Drosophila melanogaster: one gene and its partner. The gene in region 1 interacts genetically with each later gene. Each region holds a gene or a part of one and is shown on either strand. Other genes may lie near its edges. The genes, in order: Adar and Gad1.

Region 1 (12,179 bases):
AATCGTTAGGTACCTAAACAAACTGTTGCAGTATATTCACAATATATTCACAAATTGGGGTACAATTTCCGCAAAGTAGTGTGTAAGTTTAAGTACACCAAGTTAATTTTTAGTATTATAAGTGAATTGTTCGAAAAGTAACTCTTAAAACAGGCACTCGTTAGTATAACGTTTTCCAACAATTCTGTTACCATGCTCTGGATAATATAGTTTTTGTAATTGAAGGTAAAGAATGTTAATGTATGAAAGAAGGTGAATTAAATGCAAACCATTTTTTTTAGACCAATGTGCCTAACAAATCATACAATTACTACAACTAATACTACTCATTTCTACGGTGGGAAATTTTGTTAACAGCTACTGTTGGCAGATATCCAAAATATCGATATAAGCGGACTGATTCGAGCAGTAACATTACGATGTAAGTATCGATATTAGATATTGTGATAACTGCTCACATCGCTAGATTCCGAGCAACAAAAAAGCGACGAAGGGTCATTGTTATTTTTTCTAATGCAATGTAATGCAGCAAATGTGCAGATTTGAACAAGTGTAACGCGATTTATGTTTAATCCGCATCGAGGAACCAAATCGAAGTAAACGCGCGGCCAGAGAAAAGAGCAGCACCGCACCGAAGATAAAACAAACAAGCATTGATTTGTTTGTCCGGCCATGTCAGTGTGTGTGTCACAAGGGCTTGCAAGTGTGTGCGTGTGTCCGTGCGTGTACGTGGGTGCTTTTTTTTTTCTCCCGAGTGCCGCCAAGTGAAATATGCAATTGCACGCCACTGCAGTTGCAGCCACACAAATCCTATCCTAATCGACGAAACAGCGAAGCGAGGAGGCTAGAATCGGCTGCCCAACGAAGAGAGCAGAACCGTTAACAAATGACACTCTGCCGATACAGCGAAGTAAAAATCAATAATTAGAGCAAAAAGGTATGCAGTAGCCAGAAAAGAACAGAACCCAATATACATGTGCACACATCTGCAGCCGTGTGTGTGTGTGTGTGTGTATGTGTCGTTGTATATCGCGTATCGCATTCATGCAAATAAAAGGCAAGCGACGGAAGTCAATAGATTTTATAGGTATTGTGTCCCGAAATAGGAGCAATTCCCCCCGATAAGTGCCGCAAAACGGCATAATAGGTGGAGCAAAGTGGATAGTGAATAGTGGGTAGTGGATAAGGGGTGTTACGTAGCTACATGGCAAAAACAAAAAAACAAAACACAAACACAGGGACACACATGCAAAAGCACATGCGACGTAACATTCCGATTCCGACCAACATCAAAGCGGAAGAGAACGAAAGAGGAGGAGGAGAGAGAGGAGCGAGTGGCGAAGAGAGGAAGGAAAGAAGAAGGGAAAGGCTTCACTGCTGCATTGCAGTGAATTGCGTTCATCTGCCCCTCGCGAACTTCCCCTGTTCACTTTGCATTTCACTTTCTTGAGCGAAACAAACAAGCCAACAAGCTATAGGCCAATAAGTTTGCATCCATTCTTGCAGCGAGTCTCAAAAGTCGCTCAGATACATATACAGCTACAGATTGAGATCCAGGTTCAGACTCAGATTCATTCAGAATGCGCGGCTCGTAGAGGAAGAACACGAGATACATCTGACCATGTGTAATTACCTAATGTGGCGCAGAGCTTAGTGCATAAAAGAGCAGATAGTAAGGTGCCTGCATAAGTTGTATACTGTGTGTAGTGCACTTTTGGCCAGCCAGTCGATGGCTACGACGGCTATGGGCCCGATTGGCCAATTCACGAGAGTGTGGGTGTACGAAAATCGATAGAATCGTGTAACTTGGGCATACAAGTACGTATGTTTAATGTTGCATGCATGTGGAATGTACATACATATATACGCATGCCTATAATCATGCTTATGAGCAGTTTTCTAGTTTCAAGAGTCGAGATTGTATGCGATGTCTTTATATCTTGCCGTCCCGACCAAGACCAATCAATGATCTGATTTGACTGATAGATAGATAGATATATAGATAAATAGATAGATATATAGATAAATAGATAGATATATATAGGTAGGTAGCTAGATAGATAGGTAAATACTTACATACATACCACATTGTATGCCTAAGCCCTACGAACTGCATTCTAAATGGACACGAAAATGAAACAGAATCCAATCGGAAGGAGAGGAGAAATTCTTATTAGACTTACATACTCTCAGGTGGGACTAGATTCGTAGCTTTGATTTAATTAATAGACTAATTATTAGCATTGAATTTTATGTTGTTAACAAAGAGCTTCTGCTTCAGTTCATATCGGTTTGATGTTACTTTTCTGAATATTGGTAGTTCATCATCATAGTCCTTTAAATCATAAATCACCATTAAAATAGCACAACAGATTTCACCAAGATATATAAAGTACATGAAATTCGATTCCAGAGTCATGTTAAACAGCGCTAATAACAATTCTCCCCAGCACGTAAGTAGACGAAAATCGTCATTAAAAATTAGATTTCTTTATAACTTGCTTATGCGATGTTTATGTATGTAAATGTACTTTTACGAATTCTCCAACACAGCTTGCATGTTAAGTTTACGCAAAATTGCATATGTACGCTTAGATTGAATCGGTCGATTTCAGGACTTTACTTTTAAGAACTCTACTATAGTCAGAAATTTAAAGGCAGTGAAGCAAAGTAAGAGGCTTCATCCAGGAAGTAAGAGGCTTTGGTCACGAGGACCGGGGTTATTCTGGGTCTTTCATGGTAATAAGACTGCATATTGGCTGGAAGCGATATGGTTCAGTTTGATCTTGCCGTAGACTCCTATGCATAAATGTAAACGTATTATTACTATTAAACAATATAGCATGATATTAGGCGTAGTTATGTGCAATTATTATACTCCATATGGCATGATTCGTAGTTTTAGGACAATTACATTATATTCTGGTGTACTTTCTTGTTCCGTTTTCCATTTTTGCAACTCGTTTTTAAATAGCATAAGATACTTATGATTAAATGGTAGGTAACTTTATACCTTGCTTTCCTATAGATCCTCTTTATTTTCAACATTTCTTTTGCTATGAATCACAACACCACCTAAGTTCCCCAAAGGAATTTCTTATTATTCTTTTTCGATGTGTTTATTTAAAATGAAAAAACTGATCATAATTTAAGAACGGAATTATGCTTGATGTTGTACTTGATGTTCATTAGTACTTGAAGCTGGCCGGTCCGGTCCTATTATACTAGACATTTACAATTTTCGCCATCACTTGTCCGACAAATGACACTCAACACACAGGTGCTGTGTTATATAAATATGTTGTAATGAATTCGAAATGGTCAGAACAGCGACAGAGGATATTTCTCGAGCCTAACGAGTTTCCGATTGTTTCACTTGTTTATTTCGTGCTTTGTTCACAACACACTTTGGGCATTTCACATTTATTGTTTCCCACTTTGGGCAGGCAATATATCTACTTATTGAAATTATAAAGAAATTTTAAAGGTATTCTTCGTACTTGCCGTGCAGCTCGGTGAGCTGTCCTTTTAGCCACCTATGCGCACATAAATAAACTACGAGACTGCAAGCGCCAATTGCTCCAAACTTTGACCATAAATATAATTTCTTCGAACTGAGTGATTCCGCAAATGTGTATCGTATATCCCGGAGTCTTAGTATATGTACACGCACACATTTTCGCAAGATATTTATTTTAAAATGTTGCTGTTGATTACTGCAGATTTTGATACGCCAATGCAACTCATGCATCTCTGAGTTTGTGCTGCAGCTGCTGCAGCAATAACCGCTCCACCGACATCCAAATTTTAATGTAAATTCGTTCATGCTGTAGGGTTGGTAATGTCTTTCTGACATTTTGACTTCATTAATTCGACGAAATCTGCCTTCTGGGCGTCTGCGAAAGTTTTATCAGCGCCAAAGCATCTCAATTTTCGACATGCACCGTGCTTTCTGTTCAATTGCAAAACAAATGACACCTGCCATTAAAGCAAGGTTGATGTCCTTCGATTAGAACGGGTGCCCCCTTAAGAGTGGTTTTCAAAATTAATTCCATGCTCGACTCAAAAAAGATGGCTAACACAGCTTATTATGTATTTTTTTTTCGGCCAGTACTGGTACGGGTTAGGGAGCAAATCAAACGAATTCCCCAGTATCCTATCAGATACCTTTTCAGCCCAGCCCTTTGAAGTGTCCCCGAATGCCTTGCACTGAAACGGACTGGCATGGCACATGTGCCTTCCCTTTAAAAGGGTATATAAATATCGAGCTCCTCGAGATCGCAGCTAGTCGCGCAAATTATCTGCACACTTACAAACATGTGTTTTTACACATGTATGTACATTTTTAAAATTTTTTTTTCATAATTGCAGTTCCTTCTACAAAATTAGCTGCAGTTGGCTTTTGTCGTTGTCAGATAAATGTCAGTGCTTAGCCGGGAAACTCGAAATTTATCAGTCGCTGGGTTGTAGACGGTCTTGAATGTCATATCGTTGCTCGATGCTCGCTGCTCAGTTTTCTTGCAACAGAAATAGCAGTGAAATAGGTGGACCAATAATGTATCCAGTGTCCTACAAACCAGGGCGTGCGTGCTACAAATCATGCCACCATGCAATGCGAGTAGCTCGATCCTCATTTGGTTACCAACGTCAACAGTTTTATGCCGCCTCTAGTTATGCAGGAAAAAGGTCACGATTTTTTGTTAAGCGCCGATTTACGTTCCCATCATTGCCTGGCAATGTAAGTAGATTTAGTCCAACCGAACTCTGTGTTCAAACCAAACTGAACCGAAACAAACTCGCACTCAAGGAGAGATACAACATGTAGTTTAATATTTGTATGCCTTTTAGCCGTAAGCCCACAAAAAACTACCAAAAATATAACACAAAATTATATGAACATATTTTAACCGAGCAAAATGTGTGAGAAAGTCGTTGTAACTAAACGTATTCGTGTGCTATTGTTTTACAAACGTCTTGCTATAACTGTCTATATGGTATCGATGTTGTTGTGCGTAATATTAAACAAAGCGTTGTGTGTATGTATGTACCATGATTGGTCTCTAAGTCATGTTTTTGCTTTCTAGAAGTGCATAATTCAATTCGGCAATATTTGATATATATGGTAATATCAAATGAAGAACCGTGTCAATGATACTTGCTTTGGTGCCATAAAAAGCAAGTCCTCTAGAAGACGCGAGTTACTACATGCCTACACACAAAACGGGTCCTTAAAATGAAGTTTGAATGCTTTTCGTTGTACTGTACAGTGTTAAAAGTAAATGCCTAAATACTCTTGATTTCACTATTAATGCATACGTATCCATAGCCGGTGAGTGCACCATCCGATATCAACATGAATGGCTATAACCGAAAATTGCCACAAAAACGTGGCTATGAGATGCCAAAATACTCTGGTAAGTCCATCCCCAAGCACTAGGATGTGCCCAATGTGCCATGCGGGCATATCCCAGATTGCTAGATCAAATGCGAATTAGTACACTGATTCCCAACGCCATTTCGTTTCACTAGATCCAAAAAAGAAAATGTGCAAGGAGCGCATTCCCCAGCCGAAGAACACGGTGGCCATGCTGAATGAGCTAAGACATGGACTGATTTACAAATTGGAGTCACAGACTGGTCCGGTACACGCACCTCTATTCACGATATCCGTGGAGGTAAGATATGTTTAAACCCATCGGACCCTCTGAGCGATCGACCACTGAGCTGAAACATGAGGAGGTCGCTTTGAGGAATTATCAAAGGAACGGAACCTGCGATCTCAAGTTCTCTAATCTAATTCACAGGTCGATGGACAGAAATACTTGGGCCAGGGCCGTAGTAAAAAAGTTGCACGCATCGAAGCAGCAGCAACTGCACTGCGCAGCTTTATACAGTTTAAGGATGGAGCAGTTCTGTCGCCTCTGAAGCCGGCGGGCAACTTGGACTTTACCAGCGATGAACATCTTGAAAATGGTATTGAAAATTTGTCCAGTTCAAAAATGTTTGAGATCATTCAGACGATGTTGACTGAAAAGCTATCCAACCCTACCTCGCTTGAACAACCCACGTTTTGCATGAGTCAGAGCAAGTATTAGTGTTTTTATCCTCTTTTGTTAATTATTTTAATTTATTATTTAATATAATTTATTCTGGAACCTTATGCGTTGTGGCCATATCAAAGATGTCTCCATTCATCTAATAGCAATGTTTTGGCCGAATATCCAATAGTATCGGCCATGTCACAAAATCAATTGTTATCAATGATTTTAAGCAAATATGTATGTTTAAAGTGCCGTAAGGTTCGCAATGTTGATTTTGGTATCGTTTGTGTTATTTGTATGAGAGCACACACAGCTCATTTGGACTGAAGTTTTTATAGGCCAAAGAGAATGCTTTTTACTTACTGAACCCATTTTTAATAAATAACCCAACAATCGGCTACTAAAAGGCCTCGGTGTACTTGAGTCCTGTTTTTCTCTTGTTTTTTTTTTTTTTTTTTTTTTTTCCTTTTATTAATGCGCCTTATTCAGCACATTATGCTTAATAGAGCAACCAATTCTGTGCTTCAGTGTCGTACGCTTACTTAAATTGACTTTCATTGGTTGATCTCTACGTTTTTATAAGTTTCTTGTGTTTCTTGTTCATTGTTCCCCTCGCGTTTGTCTGATATGGCTAGAGACCACTATTGCGTCTGAAATAAGATTAGAAAACTAAGGCGTAGCTTCAGAGTGACGAGCAGTCAAATATCCCCAGCTAATTTTGTTTTATATTGCTAGATGTCAGCAAAAGTGCTATTACTGTTGACGGTCAGAAGAAGGTTCCAGATAAGGGTCCTGTCATGCTCCTCTACGAATTATTTAATGACGTTAATTTCGAATGCATTAATATTGACGGCGCCCAGAACAATTGTCGCTTCAAAATGACCGTCACAATCAACGAAAAGAAGTTCGATGGAACAGGTATGTAGTTGAATTATCTCGTTGTTAACGTCAACCCACCCAGCCACATACAATGTATGCTAATGTGTAACTCAATTTTTCTCAAGGTCCTTCCAAAAAGACGGCGAAAAATGCGGCAGCTAAGGCGGCACTTGCTTCGTTATGCAATATTTCCTACAGTCCAATGGTGGTGCCACAGAAGAACGTACCCCTGCCAATCGACGACAAGTCGTCATCGATGGAGTTGCCTCAGATACACGCGGATACGATTGGTCGGTTGGTCTTAGAAAAGTTCATGGAAGTAATCAAGGGCCAGGAGGCTTACTCGCGTCGAAAGGTATTAGCGGGCATTGTAATGACTGAAAACATGAATTTTTGTGAAGCCAAAGTGAGTCCGCAGCCAGCGAAGCATTGCGAAACCAATTATAATGCCAAACCCATCCTTGATCAGGTTATTTCAGTTTCGACGGGCACCAAGTGTGTCAGCGGTGAGCATATGAGTGTGAACGGAGCTGTCCTAAATGATTCCCATGCTGAAATAGTCTCCAGGCGTTGTCTTCTCAAATATTTATATGCACAGCTGGACCTTCAGTGCAATCAGGGTATAGTTGTTTGATGTATATGCTAAGTTCAGTTTACGTATACTAATAATACCATAGAACTTAAATCTAAGAGTAATGCATAATCTAGTTGTTAAATGTTGATATCGAAAATGTACGCTTTACCAGCAAGAATTGCCTACATAGAAGCTAAAGTTCCGATTTGTGCTCATTAACCGTATACGAGCACAAACTTTTATTTTTTCTTTCTTTTACACATTATAAACAAGCACTTTAAGCTAACTTATGTTTTCCCCGTCTGATCGTTTTAGAAGGTGTTTATACAAAATTAAATTTTAAGGGCAAACCATCTTAAAAATAAACAATTTGTAAACATTATCAAATCTAAGCACAAACATTAAAAATCTCGAATATCCTTTATTTTGAATGGCATTTACCTTAATTACTTAATTACTAACATTTCAGTTGTACTATTTCATTGAATTATTATCTAAATTGCAAACCAATTATTAAGTAGCAAAGGGAAAGCTTCTAAAGTAACATTGTTTCTTTTGAATTCAATGTAATGCCTGTGGCATGATTTGGGCCCAGTGAACACATTTAGTATTCTTAAGTCAAAACTCACCTATCGGAAACACAATTAATGATAGTTCTTTTGACTTGGAAATAAGAGTGGGCATTATAGGAAAAGGTATTTGCCTTTGGCTCAAAACAAAATCATAAAATATGTATAAGTTGCGTAGTATTTTGCGATTGGCATTTTGCTTTCCCAGCTTAACATTCTTACTAAAACATGTTTCGCATTGTTTTGTTGGACTTCTTTTCATGTATACCTTTGCGTATTGGTGAAAAGAATGAGATTTAAACATAAAACTACTTCGTTTTACTTTAATTTATATTTGATTACTCTTATTCAATTTTCTCCTAAATTTAGCCACAGCATATCAGTCGATTTTCGTGAGGAATACTGATGGGCAATACCCTTATAAACTAAAATCCGGGGTACATTTCCATTTGTATATAAATACAGCACCTTGTGGGGATGCACGGATATTTAGTCCTCACGAAAACGACACTGGTGTTGATAAACATCCAAATAGGTTGGTACAAACTGCATTCTATAAATACTCGATATTTTTATATGAAGAATACTTTCTCTACCTATTTACACATTTAAATTGTATTATTCAAGTAGAATTATAATGATTTATATTTGTACGCAATAAGAAACGACATTTCCCTGCAGGAAACACGTTGAGATTGCAAAAAAAATTTGTATTTGCATAAAAAAAATATATATTTGTATATGTACAATTGCGTGCTTAAGAATGCCACAAGTTACCGTCAATGAAATTGCGACATTTGTTCATTATAAATAACTTTTAAAATCTGGAATGCAAGCATATGCCAAAAGAAGAAAGCACTATATCGCACACTTTCATTTCAATTTGTGGCAACATAATGCACGAAATTGTTCATATTAAATATTAGAACTATCAATTTGAACATGAGCATGAATGTATACAAGAAATCAGGTATTTTAAAGCTTTTACTCTTTGTGTTGAGTCTGTTTAGAAATGTATTTGCCCCCGGCTTTTTATTCGCCATCCGTTGTCTGTATGTATGTGTCTGTAACGATTCAGTCAAGTGATTAAGATGACAAGGATATACAAAACATGGGCTTCCGCTTCCACAATTTTGTTAAATACGTATTTGTATGCCCTTGCAGTTGTTATAGAACGCAGAGAATAAGGCATCTCTTCCGCTATTAATAAACTATTGCATAGTCTATATGGCAATGTCCGTCTACAAACTTCGGAGCTCCGAAGTTTCCTTTCTTGTTTGCAACAATCGTTTAAAATGACAGTTCGAAATAGGTTAAGCATAAAAGTACCTACCATTTGAATCAGATTTAATAGGTGCCGGTCTGAGGGATTACTTTGAAGTATATGTGAGAAATGAATTTTAATGATAAGCCTTGCCGCCCGCCACTCCCTACCACATAATGAAGTAATTCATACCATGTTTTGTTTCCAGTATTACTTGGCATGTTTTAAACGTAGTTTTTGAACAAGCTAATAATTATATTTTCCATACTCACATTTTATAATGCCGACAACGAATCATACATGAAATAATCATCAATCAACAGAAAAGCTCGTGGCCAGCTGCGCACCAAAATCGAGTCCGGTGAGGGGACGATTCCAGTGAAAAGCAGTGATGGTATCCAGACGTGGGATGGCGTATTGCAGGTAACCCGATTGGGCGGTTGCTATTAGATCGTGGTAAACCATCAACATTACAACATTTATGACTTTTGTGCAGGGCCAACGCCTGCTAACAATGTCGTGCTCGGATAAAATTGCCCGTTGGAACATCGTGGGCATCCAAGGCTCACTATTGTCTTCCATAATTGAACCGGTGTACCTGCATTCGATTGTGCTGGGAAGCCTGTTGCATCCGGAGCACATGTACCGCGCAGTTTGCGGCCGAATTGAGAAGTCCATTCAAGGCCTGCCACCGCCGTACCATCTGAACAAGCCGCGCCTGGCACTAGTCACTTCGGCCGAGCCGCGGAATCAGGCCAAGGCTCCCAACTTCGGGATCAATTGGACCATTGGGGACACCGAGCTGGAAGTGGTGAACTCGCTAACCGGTCGAACCATTGGCGGCCAGGTGTCTCGCATCACAAAGCAGGCGTTTTTCGTTAAGTATGGATTTCTAATGGCAAACTTGCCCGGTATTTTAGTCCGCAAAGTAACCACTGACTATGGGCAAACCAAAGCTAACGTTAAGGACTATCAGGTGAGTGTTTATATGCTGGATCATTTGAGGATATGCATCAAATTGTTTGCCACATCTGTTCTTGTAGATCGCAAAGCTAGAATTGTTCTCTGCATTCAAGCGAGAAGACCTTGGCAGCTGGCTGAAGAAACCCATTGAACAAGACGAGTTCGGTCTTGCCGAATGACTGCACTCAGCACTATTATATAATTTTAAAAAAGACAACAGCAACGGCAAGCAATTAATAGAATTAGACGACATAGATTTTATGACAAATTCTGATATAGAATGCAAATTATATTGGGTGCAAGCACATCGCTATGATATACCACTTCATATGATTGACAACCTGCCAACTTTGCGTACCCATTGCAATAGCAAGCACAAAGATGCTTATGCTCGAAATATAAAGAACAGCTCTAGAATATTTATAGAATAGAATGTAGTTTTTATGCTGGAACTGAGTAAAGGAGTATTATGGCGTTTTTTTTTGAATCAATTCATTTTTAAATTGGCTAAAGCAATTTCTTTATCATTTAAGTTTGTGACTTGTTTTGTTATTTGAATGAATGCGATGCGTTGCGATGTCGTCGTAACCACACTGTCGAAACTTTCAAGTGAGTTGTGTCTTTCGTTTTCCGTATTTTATATGGTAAATATGGTAATATGGAATGTTACGAAACAGTTAAAAGATATATATAAAACCAAAAACCAACAAGTACACTCAATGAATAACAATAATCCAAACAGAAATCTAGAATTCGTTCTCTTATCGATTAAGCAATGTATTTTGTTAAGTAATGTTATTTGCAACGACATAATAATTATAATAATAATAAAGTCACGCTTAATATAAGCATAAGAACATTTTAGGTGAATCTGCGTTAATTTCGCGTACTTTTCTTCAGATCAGATATAAACCTAAGCTTTAATCGATTTTCAATGAATAAAACTGTGTTCTTGGTTGAAAAACATTATATCTATGTAACAACATTTTATCAATTAAATTACGTAGATTTCTTTGCATATTAGTTGATACAAATCACATGCAAGCGAAAGCAGATAAGAATAAAAATACATATATTAGTTACCAATTTTGTAGCATGCTGATAAAGGCATTTGAACTACCTAACTAAGTCTTATCATGAAGCTTGTATCGCTATTTCGTATATTGTAGAAATACATACTATATTAGTTGTGGTTACTTGTACATCATAATACCTTCTCTTAAATTTACTTCCGCCCTGAGTTCTTCCGGTTGTTCGTTCAATTTGAAATGACAATTGTTAATGGTCAAATCAATAACTACTCTTCCAACGTCGATTGACGTATTCCAATTTAAAACAAGGCGATTTGGCTCCTCTTTTATTGTGTACTTGAAAATGCTACGACGAATGATCTAGTCAAATGTGGTAACCTAATAAAGCCATAGTCTCCTACCATTCAGTTATGTGAAATAAATATTACGTCGAAGTTGCATAGAAAACGAAAATGAAAAGGACTGCATGACATTAGAGCAGCACAGCATATTTTGTTGCAGTTGCAGTTTGTCCGAATCGTCTTAATCTCACTCACGACCTCGAAAAGGTTTGAGTACCGACTTCTTGCGATATAATTTTTCATTTAAAGCCGTAAAATTTCTTTAAGTACTAAAATTCAACCGCTTAATTCGTCCAATGCCGTTTATAATTAACAAGCTACTTCGAAGTTTAATTTCCTTTGACTTTCTCACAGTCCACTTAATGATACTTTTAGTAGTAATTTACATGATTGCTTCGCAACTTGTATCCTTCACTACCGAGTGAACCTGATGGGCTGATTGTGTTTTAAAAATGAAAAAGAATTAATTGTTAACTTTTTCAGCACGGCACGAAGTAGGCAATTGAGTTTTAAGCTA
Region 2 (9,237 bases), on another chromosome or scaffold:
CCTGGCCATTGGATAAAACTAAAGAAACGAAACTGCGAAACGGCATAATCGGTTCGAAACGGTTTTCGACTCGGTATTCGTAATTGATGATGATGATGTGTCTGTTGGTTATAAATATATATATATATGTATATATATATTATTGAATTATGGATATTATTCCGGCATAATCCGTGTGATCGGTTCGCTAGTCGCTGTATTCATGGCAGAAACGCAACGCCTAACACATATACATATACATAAATGTAAAGTGCATTTCGTATATTAATTACTGAGTGATTAACTTGCTACACATCGATATACATACTGAAGCCGCATTAGGTTATCAATGAATGTGCTCTGAAAATTGCCTTATAACTTTGGTGCAATACAATATTTATTAATTATTTTCCATTTTCCTTGATTAGTAGTAGTGCATGGTTAATATTAGCAATAGTACTGATATATAGACACTGAGTATGCGAACTTCCTTGCCTGCTCTTCTCCTGCTAAGTTATAGTTAATTATTGTCAGTCACAGCGTCGCGTTTGCCACAACAACGTGTGCTTGTATTGACTATATCTTCGAGCTCGAATCGAAAATCTCATTATTATTATTATTATATAGAATATCTTACAAACTATTTGGCAGCTGGCCGATCTTTTTGGCGCTGCCGCAACGCATGTCTTCCAGAATGCGATTTAAGTTGTCTTCCATTTCAATGCAATGCGAAAAAATGTCTTCCAAACACACAGATAATATGCATACAATACATCATATGCGATTATTTATGCTGAACAATATGACACCTAGATATTATGGTAACTATGGTTTACAGCTTTATGTATATATATATATTCATATATATATATATATGATGTATACGGGTCTGGTAGATCCAGTATAGCCCGTCTGAGTTTCTGATTTGCAATCGCAACTCATTTTGTGGATATATATATAGACCAATTACATGTGTTATTCGTTAGTAAGTACAAGTATATATTTTATAAATGTTGCTTTTGCGTTTAAGGGCCGTAACCAACACTAAACTCTTGGTTGGCACTTTGGCCTAATTGCGACACTCCTAATTGATGCTGATTTGAAATATCTCAATGCTTTAGATTCGCCAATAACTTGTAAGCCAAAACAAAGGAAATTCTTTAGATACCAACTTGTTTTTGCCTCGTGGTAAATTGATATGCTGATTCCATCGAACCAAGGTGTATTCCAAATAAATGTGATTGGGTGTTTTTTTTTTTGTTTTTTGATTTTGGGTAGTGTTTACCGCACGATATGTTGTGTACATTGATATTAATTGGTTGTTCATCTTCATATATCTCTTCTTGTGTCTCCTCAGTCCAATTCCTTGACCAATCACCTAAATACGGGTTGTGTCCGTCCCGGGGATTTCGGATGCCTTTTGGGAGGGCATCCTCATCCTCCGAGGCGACGCACTGGAAGCCCTGCGTGATTCTGCTGTTTCTCGAGTGTGGGGGGTAAAGTCCCCCCCCTTGCTTACTCTATAGCTTTTCTATAGTTAGTTGTAATTGAAATTAGTTACAAATTAATTGATTCGCATAGGGAATTTTTTTTGTTTGCTTGCTCCTCCTCCTCATCGTATATTCTTCTCTATGTATTATTTATATTGAATTGTTTGATTTTTTTTTTGATTTTTCTATAGTTTTTGTTTTTATCTCTTTACAGTATTTAACTAAACTTTCGTAACACGTTTTCCGATATAGATTATATATGGGAGATACTTTTTCATGACAACAATAGCACTAACTGAAGTTCAAAAACGAAGAACAACAAAACATCAGATAATCAGATAATTCTCGATCCATATATATGGTTTTGTGATTTAGCGCCTCCATCGGGAGCGATCCCCTCAGGAAGGTGGGGATCGCTCAGCTGAAGAACGGCGATAAATCACAGTTGCACAAAGACCCGCCATCGCCAGTCTTGCAGAGCACCTTGCACACTTCGTCCCAGTCCGGTGCCGGAGTGGTTGTGTCCGTTTCCGAGGCGGCTGCCACGGTAGCTGCGGACACTGTTGCTTCCTCGACCGATCCTCTCCGTTCGGCATTCTCCGCGGCTCTGGAACCGTGTGTTGGATCGCCCAGCACTCCACTGGCCTTCTCCTCGTCCTTTCGAACCTCCTCCTGCTTCTCCTCCTCCTGCTTCCGCTCCTTCATCACCCTCATCCTGCGCACCTCCTGCTGGCAGGGACTGCATCCGGGCAGGGAGCGACCCATCTGACCACAAAAGCTCGAGCAGACCAAGTCGCCCGCTTTAGCTGGAAGTAAATAAGTGCATTTGATTAGTATGTTTATTTTTCAAAAAGCAAATTAACCTTAAGTTCGACCATAATAATCATTAAAGTATAATATTTTGAATAGAGTTTCAATATATTATTTTCCACTTACCCCTAGGCAGTCCACACAGTTGCCGGCACTTGGCCACATCCGTCTCCGGTCTCAGGATTGTGTTTTTGGCCACATCAGGCGTTGAAGCAACGCCCAGGCCAGCTCTGCAAGGATCAACCATAAAATGCTGATTAAATTGCAATGCAGAGTAAATTAAAAAAAAAAAAGATTTAAGATGACAGTATATGACACTCGCATTACCAAGTTAAGAACCATGATATATGCATAATTGTTATTGAAACTAGGTTTACAGATAACATAGTTTTAAATAGCACAAATGATCTAGGAAAATCTCGACTTGATAAACTGTTTTTTTTTTTTGTAAAAAATATATTTATTTCAAAACATTTTTAAATAGTATTAAACACCAAATTAAAAAATAATGCAGAGTATATTTTAAATATAAACGCAAGCCAAAATGTTCTAATTAATAATATTTGTAAATTATATATCGTAAAATTGTGAAATAATTTTGATTAGCTTTGACCCGACATTTAGAATTTATTTTTTAAAGCCTATTCAATTTTTTAAGTGAGCACAGTACTTCTGGCGACTTCGAGTGCCATTTATACTTAACATATTTGGCACTTGACAAACTACTGCACACACGCCACAAAAGTCGAGTCACGAATCATTGATATAGCCACCGATCATCAGGAATGCGGATTATATTTCCCTGACACACGCGATTGTGGGAAAACCTCGATGGAAGCCACTTGAAAGGCCGACGCGATTTGCAAATGATTTCTCAAGGCCAACATTTTAGTTGGTAAATGTGTCGTATTATTATCATTATTAGTTTGCACTTTTTTTTGTGTTGGGGGGAAACCTGCACTTGCCAACAATAAACACTTGAGTCACTTTGCGCCGAGGCACCTTACTTTCAGTAATTCCTAGAGTTTTCGATTGCTGTTTATCCGAAACTTACCCGCAGAGCTCTTTACACAGCAAACTCCAATCCTGAACTGCGCTGATGGTTTGGACGTCTTCAAGGATTTTGGCTGCTGAATGCGCTGCCGTCGGAGCAGCATCCCCCAAAGTGTCGTCCTTCAGGACGGGCGATGACGTCACAGCCTGCGCCTGCGCAGCCAGGATGAGGATTGTGACCAATGGTATGACGAGCTGTAATCCACATCCCCCCATTTTTCTCTGTCGCTTTTCAACACGCTCTCCCATCGCTGGGCTGAAAAGAGATGGGTAGATTACGGAACTGGGGGATGGGTTTTTCACGCTGGTTTGGGGCGTATTATCCTCCAGGGAGGACTGGGCCAAAATGGAGACTGTTTGGCCCCGTACAATAGGAGCAATTGTGCTCGAAATGCAATTATCGCGCTCTCAAAAATAGGCAGCAAAAAGCAGCGTTTGGGGTACTTGCCTGCGGGGCCTAATCCTTACACCATTGTTATCCCGAGCATTTGCTATCCGAATATCATTCGCTTGATTTGCCAAACCGAAAGGGGTTATGCAATCGCCTGTCTTTCGAACGCAACTGAGACTCCCACCTGGCATCCTGGCATTCTGGCATCCTGACAACGCTTTTGCAACGGGATTCTCGTCGAAAATACCTCACATAAATGCCTCAGCTAACCAACCTGCTGGAATCTTATTTTGTCAGCGTAATGACAGGCTAAACAGTCGAAATTCCCAAACTCCCATTTGTTTTCCACGGGCAACGAAAAATGTTCATGGCCCCCGGGGTGCGGAGCATTCCCTGGCCCACTGTGCTTCTGATGCCTCTGGCTGGCAGTTGAGAGTCGAGTGCCAAAGAGGACGCTTCGCCCTGGCCAGAAACGCCCGGTCTGAATTAGCCGCCCGAGAATAGCAGACCCAAGCTCCCAGCTCCATCCGCATCCGTGGGTGGCACTTGACTCCAAACATTTTCGCCTATCTGGGTTACAGGGCCTACTTGCGCTACGTGCAATCACAGCCAGGTGAGCATCCTATTTTCTGGTCGAGAGCTCATCTCATTGTTCAATTCCATTCGCTAGTTGTGCTCTTATGAAAGGGTATCGATCCTGTCTAACTATTTCTACTGATGCAAAGTATCTATCTCAATTTATTTATCTGCTATCATTAATAATAAGGAATGTTTATAATGAAGTATTAAATATTTAATGACTGCATAGTTTTATTTTTTGATAATTTTACAAATCCCTTTCAGCTTTCTAGTTTGATTAAAATCAAATAAATAGTTCTTCAAAGCTTTGTTATTTTTAGTAATATGACTATTCTTTTAACTAAAATATTCCTTAAAAATGTACATATAACTTTTAAAAGGGACTGCAAGGCGACATGCTTGTATTGCAACCATTATTTTTGAGAGTATTTTAAACATCGCTCTTAAAATGGCTTAAACCCATAATCCTTTTGTTTGTCCATGTCTGCTGCTGTTTCTGTTACTGTTTCTGTTTCTGTTTCCGTTTCCTGTTACAACTCACTGTGCTTTTCCAAAAGTTTGACTCAATTAAATCCGATTGTTCGTGGCACCTGCTCCGCTCGAAATGCTTAAATCCTTAACTCGACGGGATTTATATAAAGCTGTCCGCTACAAATGGTAGCAGTTGTTCAACTGAGCCCAAACCGGCCCAAACGAAAATCCCACTTACTAATAATAAATGTTTTTGATGGCTTTATCTGCCGGTGTCATAGATTCAAGTGCGAATCAGAGGATAGACTATCGCAGATACACCCGATCCCCCCCTCCTTTTCAGACTGGTCTGTTTGCCATATATCTGCGATAAGTGCAGACCGAGTGCCTAATTATTATTGGTAGCACATGCCGTTGAAGTGCTTTTCAGATAGCAGGCGACTTTATTTCGCCATGTTTAGTGGTTCTAAATACCATGAGCTGTTTTTGTATCAGAAATATTTGTCTGACACTTGTGATGGATGGGTTTTGTTAAAGGGTTACGCAGATGTTAAGGCGTAGGGTGCAAATTCATATCTATTAGGCGCCATATTTGTCACTTAAGGTCTTCTAAAATGTTTTTATTGTTTCAAGAAAGCAATTGAGCAATTAACAATTAAAAAACTGCGAAGAAAGTCCTTTCACACAGTTGTTGCCACATCAAAAGTAACGATTTCGTTGTGCAATTACGGCTTTATGGACTTTCTGCAACTGCCGTTGGATTTCTTCTAGCTAGTGCTACAAAGTAATGCACTACGCCCTATGAGAATGTTTTGAAAGTCATGTTGAACAAGTGTCGACTTCATTTTGCCAATATTGCAGGCATTCAATAAAAAAGATGGATCACAGGGACTAGCAAGGGAGTTATTGCCACTGTAATGGCCTTCTTAAGTTGCAATCAGTTACATCGAAAGACACTTTTCAAGTGCCAGAGCCCTCGCAACGAAAATACGCTGACGCATTGGATCCTGCCCAGGGAGCAGGAGCTGGAGCAGCAGCAGGACCAAGTGCCAAGTGCCAAGTGTGTGGTAACATCCTACGCCAGCTGCTCCGTGTGTCAGATAAGAATGGAAGTGGAGTGGGTGGAACTCTTTTGCGGCAAGTATTCCTAGGGTTCTCGTTGTTTAAGCTTCTCCAGTTTGATGGACGTCCTTTTTGGTCCTGCTGCTCCTGGGCTCTTTACCCAAGTTGCATAACATGGCCATAGATGTTCTCTGGCCCTCAAAAGTATGCTACGAAACGCGTTCTATTGGAAATGATGCAATTTCACTCTGAGATACATATCTATTTTGCATAGCCCAAGTGGGCGGGCGGCCTAGCTTTGACCCAAATTTCGTTTTTGTTCTATATACCAGGAATCTATATGCTTTGGCTTCTATATCTAAGCGCACATATGTACATATATGCGGGAAATGAAAGTAATTATAGGGTTATTTTTTTTTGTTTCATTCGACAGGAAACTCTCATAAAAAGTTGTGGGTCATTGTAAATGTCAGAAACAGTGGCAAAATTAGTTTGTTAATTAGCTTTTCATTTGGTCGCCCCATCACAATCTATATTTTCCTTTCCCTTTATCCCGTTTTATTATTTCTTTAGCATTCACCAGGCGTGCGCACATATTTCATGTGTATCTGTTGGATACTTTGGGGCGCGCATGGCCGAAGCTCCGCCCACGCAAAATGGCCTTAACAAAGATGGTTTCCGAAAAATCAATGACGTCACCCGGAGAATTTCCCGCATTTTCCTCAGCCCCACTGTTGTTGTCGTTGTCGCTGAAGGTTATGCAAGAGATTGAGGAGTAGTATGTATATACATAGGTACGCTTGTAGTGGTATATGGGCAGCCATTTTTTGGATGCGAAAAGCTTCGTAGGCAACTCAGGCGGATGCTGCTGCTCATAGCTCCGCAGATCGTCAGCGAGTGTAGGCTGCTCAGTTCCCTAAGTTTCCCAAACCGAAAGTGAAAGTTGCCCGAAACCTGTGAACCTGTGAAAATATATATACATTTCAAATCCAATAGTAATTCCCAGTCCGTTCAATCAGCGAATTGTTGCTCCTCCGTTTCGCGAGTGATTTTCAGTGTTTTTTGTTGTTGCTAGGAAGAAGAGAACTCTGTAAGTTGTCGTTGGTTTAGACCACAAGTAGTTAATCGCAGCTCCATCTCAGAGATACATTTCGATACATTTCGTACTCGCACATTCCTCTAGCTATATCTTTTCGAAAGCCTCGTCGGTGATTCGTCGCCCCCCGCAGACAGTCAAAGTGAATTACCTAAAGCAGTATATCGACGATATCCGCAGGATTATCGGTAAGACTCCCAGACGATTTTGTTGCATAAGTTTCGCACTGTCCAAGGTTTTCGCCATTAATTGCAGCTGTCGCGCTGTCTGTATCCCCATGTAAATCAAGCTTATGTATATATATAAGCTTATATATATATATACTATATATGTTCGTTCCGTCGCAGGAAATTGGCTTAACACTCACTGCGCAATAGCAGATGGCGCCAAAAGTGAAAAGGAGGGGCCCTGAAATCCGTGTATATGTGGCATATACCAAATACTTACCTCCCACTTGGAGCTTGCCCTTCAGTTGTCCTTGTACCAACAGCCCCCCCCCCCTTCTCGTTCGCCAAACTCCGCATTCCATTTTCCATTTTCCACTCTGTTTATTTACACGCCCATTGCATTTTCGCACCGTTTGTTTGTTTGCTTGTCTTGGTTATGCAATTTGTGTGTGTGGGTTGTTGGAAAATGGGGGCTTTCGAAGTGCAAGGACTTATGTAACACCTGCCCCGAGGACCCACGGCCTTCGGTCGATTGCATAACATTGACTCACTTCATTTGGCCGAGCTCCATTTTTCCTTATCTTGCTGAGTCCGCACTTTGCGTTTCCCCCCTAATAATTTCATCACGTTTTTTACTCTGTATCTTTTCAGAGGAGAAAATGTCGCTGAATCCCAACGGGTATAAACTGTCCGAGAGGACGGGCAAACTGACGGCATATGGTGAGTATCTATTTGAATTTAAAATAATATAATGTTTCATAAACAATATAAGAAAACAGATTCGGGAAGATGAATTAAATATGCGTATGTATATTTACTCTCTAGAGAACTCAGGTTTGTTTTAGTCTACCAAAAAATCCTTTTGTAACCCGATTTTAAAGAGCCTATATTAGTTTTAGATACGAAATATTAGAAAGCGTGGTATTATCGTTGTTTTGTTTTAAAAATGTTATTTTGATAAGATTTCAAAATGCTTAAAAAAGTCCTTTGGTTATACAACACAGCAAGGAATAGAACAAGGACCCTACAGTTAAGTTCCCTGACTGTCAGATAGTAAACACTTTGCTGAGGTATCTGAGGCATCTGAGGTAAAAGTAATGAGGTAAAAGTATTTTTCCCTTTTGGTATAAGTATTGTACATTGTATCTGCAGCGTTTTGTCGATAAGTAATTAATATTCCATCGGGTAGCTCCTTGTCATAACCATAAATTGCAAGAAAACAAGGACTTAGAGCTAGCCGAGAGCAAGAATTTATTTTCGAATTGTGCAACTCCAACCTGTCACATTCCGGCACAAGAAACATATTTTGCGATCATGTGTCTGGGGGGCGATTACTTCGCCTTGGTAATAATCCTGGCAAACATTGGTCCTACGCATAACTGCACTCGAATCGCATCGCTTTTGGCTGGGCAAATAATAAACGAGTGTTAAACTGACACTGCCAGGAACAGGGAACAGAAAATGGGCAAGCTGGGCAACTGGCGCACAGGAGTCTGCTGTTTAAGGACATGGACAAGCGGTGGGCTGTCCAGGACACTCGTGTGTCCTTGATAAATGGCCCCGCACTGGAAGCTCCTTGTGTTTCGTGTGCGTTTGCTGCCTCTGGTGAAGCGTGAAACTGGCGACTGTTGCCCTGTAACAGATTTCTGCTCGACAAACACGCAACAAACAGACAGAACAGAACAGAAAGTCAAACAAACCACCACCATTCGATGTACATATGTATGTATGTGTGTTGCACAAGGACCAGAAAGGTGGCAGGACTCTCCCCGAGGCGGCAGACGCGTGCCTCAGATTGAAAGGCCAACAAACATAAACCGTTTAGTCACAGGATATTGCTCACGCTCGATTCCAGGACGCTCGTGTGCGGCGGCTGCTCGTAATGCCTTCCAAGGACTCGCAGGACTCTCGGCTGGGCCAACGTCTGCCTTTGACACTGAGCACCCACCGAAGCAGACGAGCACATTAAATTTTATTTAACTTCTTGGCCGTAAAGTCGTGGAATTTTTCAAACTGTTACAATTTGTCGCACCACCTCCCCCAACGAAAATGGTAATCATGCGCAACGTTAAGTTTGCAATTGATTTCCAAGCTGGCTTCTAATGGAGCTGCTCCCATTTGCTCGCTGGCTTAGTGGCC

What was found.
Region 2: of Adar (region 1) and Gad1, changing one suppresses a phenotype caused by changing the other (phenotypic suppression), as found in Drosophila melanogaster (one study listed by BioGRID).

The regions. Positions count from the first base shown.
Region 1 is NC_004354.4:1,773,286-1,785,464, forward strand, and holds Adar (adenosine deaminase acting on RNA), read left to right. Parts: upstream 1-4,533; 5' UTR 4,534-4,555; coding exon 4,556-4,738; intron 4,739-5,084; exon of another isoform or gene 5,085-5,233; coding exon of another isoform or gene 5,234-5,275; exon of another isoform or gene 5,276-5,326; coding exon 5,327-5,414; intron 5,415-5,529; coding exon 5,530-5,675; intron 5,676-5,804; coding exon 5,805-5,973; coding exon of another isoform or gene 5,974-6,095; exon of another isoform or gene 6,096-6,776; coding exon 6,777-6,959; intron 6,960-7,045; coding exon 7,046-7,326; intron 7,327-7,389; coding exon 7,390-7,540; coding exon of another isoform or gene 7,541-7,554; exon of another isoform or gene 7,555-7,915; intron 7,916-8,432; coding exon 8,433-8,598; intron 8,599-9,650; coding exon 9,651-9,750; intron 9,751-9,823; coding exon 9,824-10,303; intron 10,304-10,370; coding exon 10,371-10,469; 3' UTR 10,470-10,716; downstream 10,717-12,179. UniProt on the Drosophila melanogaster protein: Has A-to-I RNA editing activity on extended dsRNA: edits RNA-binding protein Rnp4F. A-to-I editing of pre-mRNAs acts predominantly through nervous system targets to affect adult nervous system integrity, function and behavior.
Region 2 is NT_037436.4:4,083,311-4,092,547, reverse strand, and holds the start of Gad1 (glutamic acid decarboxylase 1), read left to right. Parts: upstream 1-3,803; 5' UTR 3,804-4,336; intron 4,337-4,843; exon of another isoform or gene 4,844-4,967; intron 4,968-6,704; exon of another isoform or gene 6,705-6,925; intron 6,926-7,018; exon of another isoform or gene 7,019-7,119; intron 7,120-7,749; 5' UTR 7,750-7,757; coding exon 7,758-7,818; intron 7,819-9,237. Other genes in the region: CG14989 (uncharacterized protein), read right to left, coding at 1,887-2,275, 2,406-2,509, 3,334-3,581. UniProt on the Drosophila melanogaster protein: Catalyzes the production of GABA.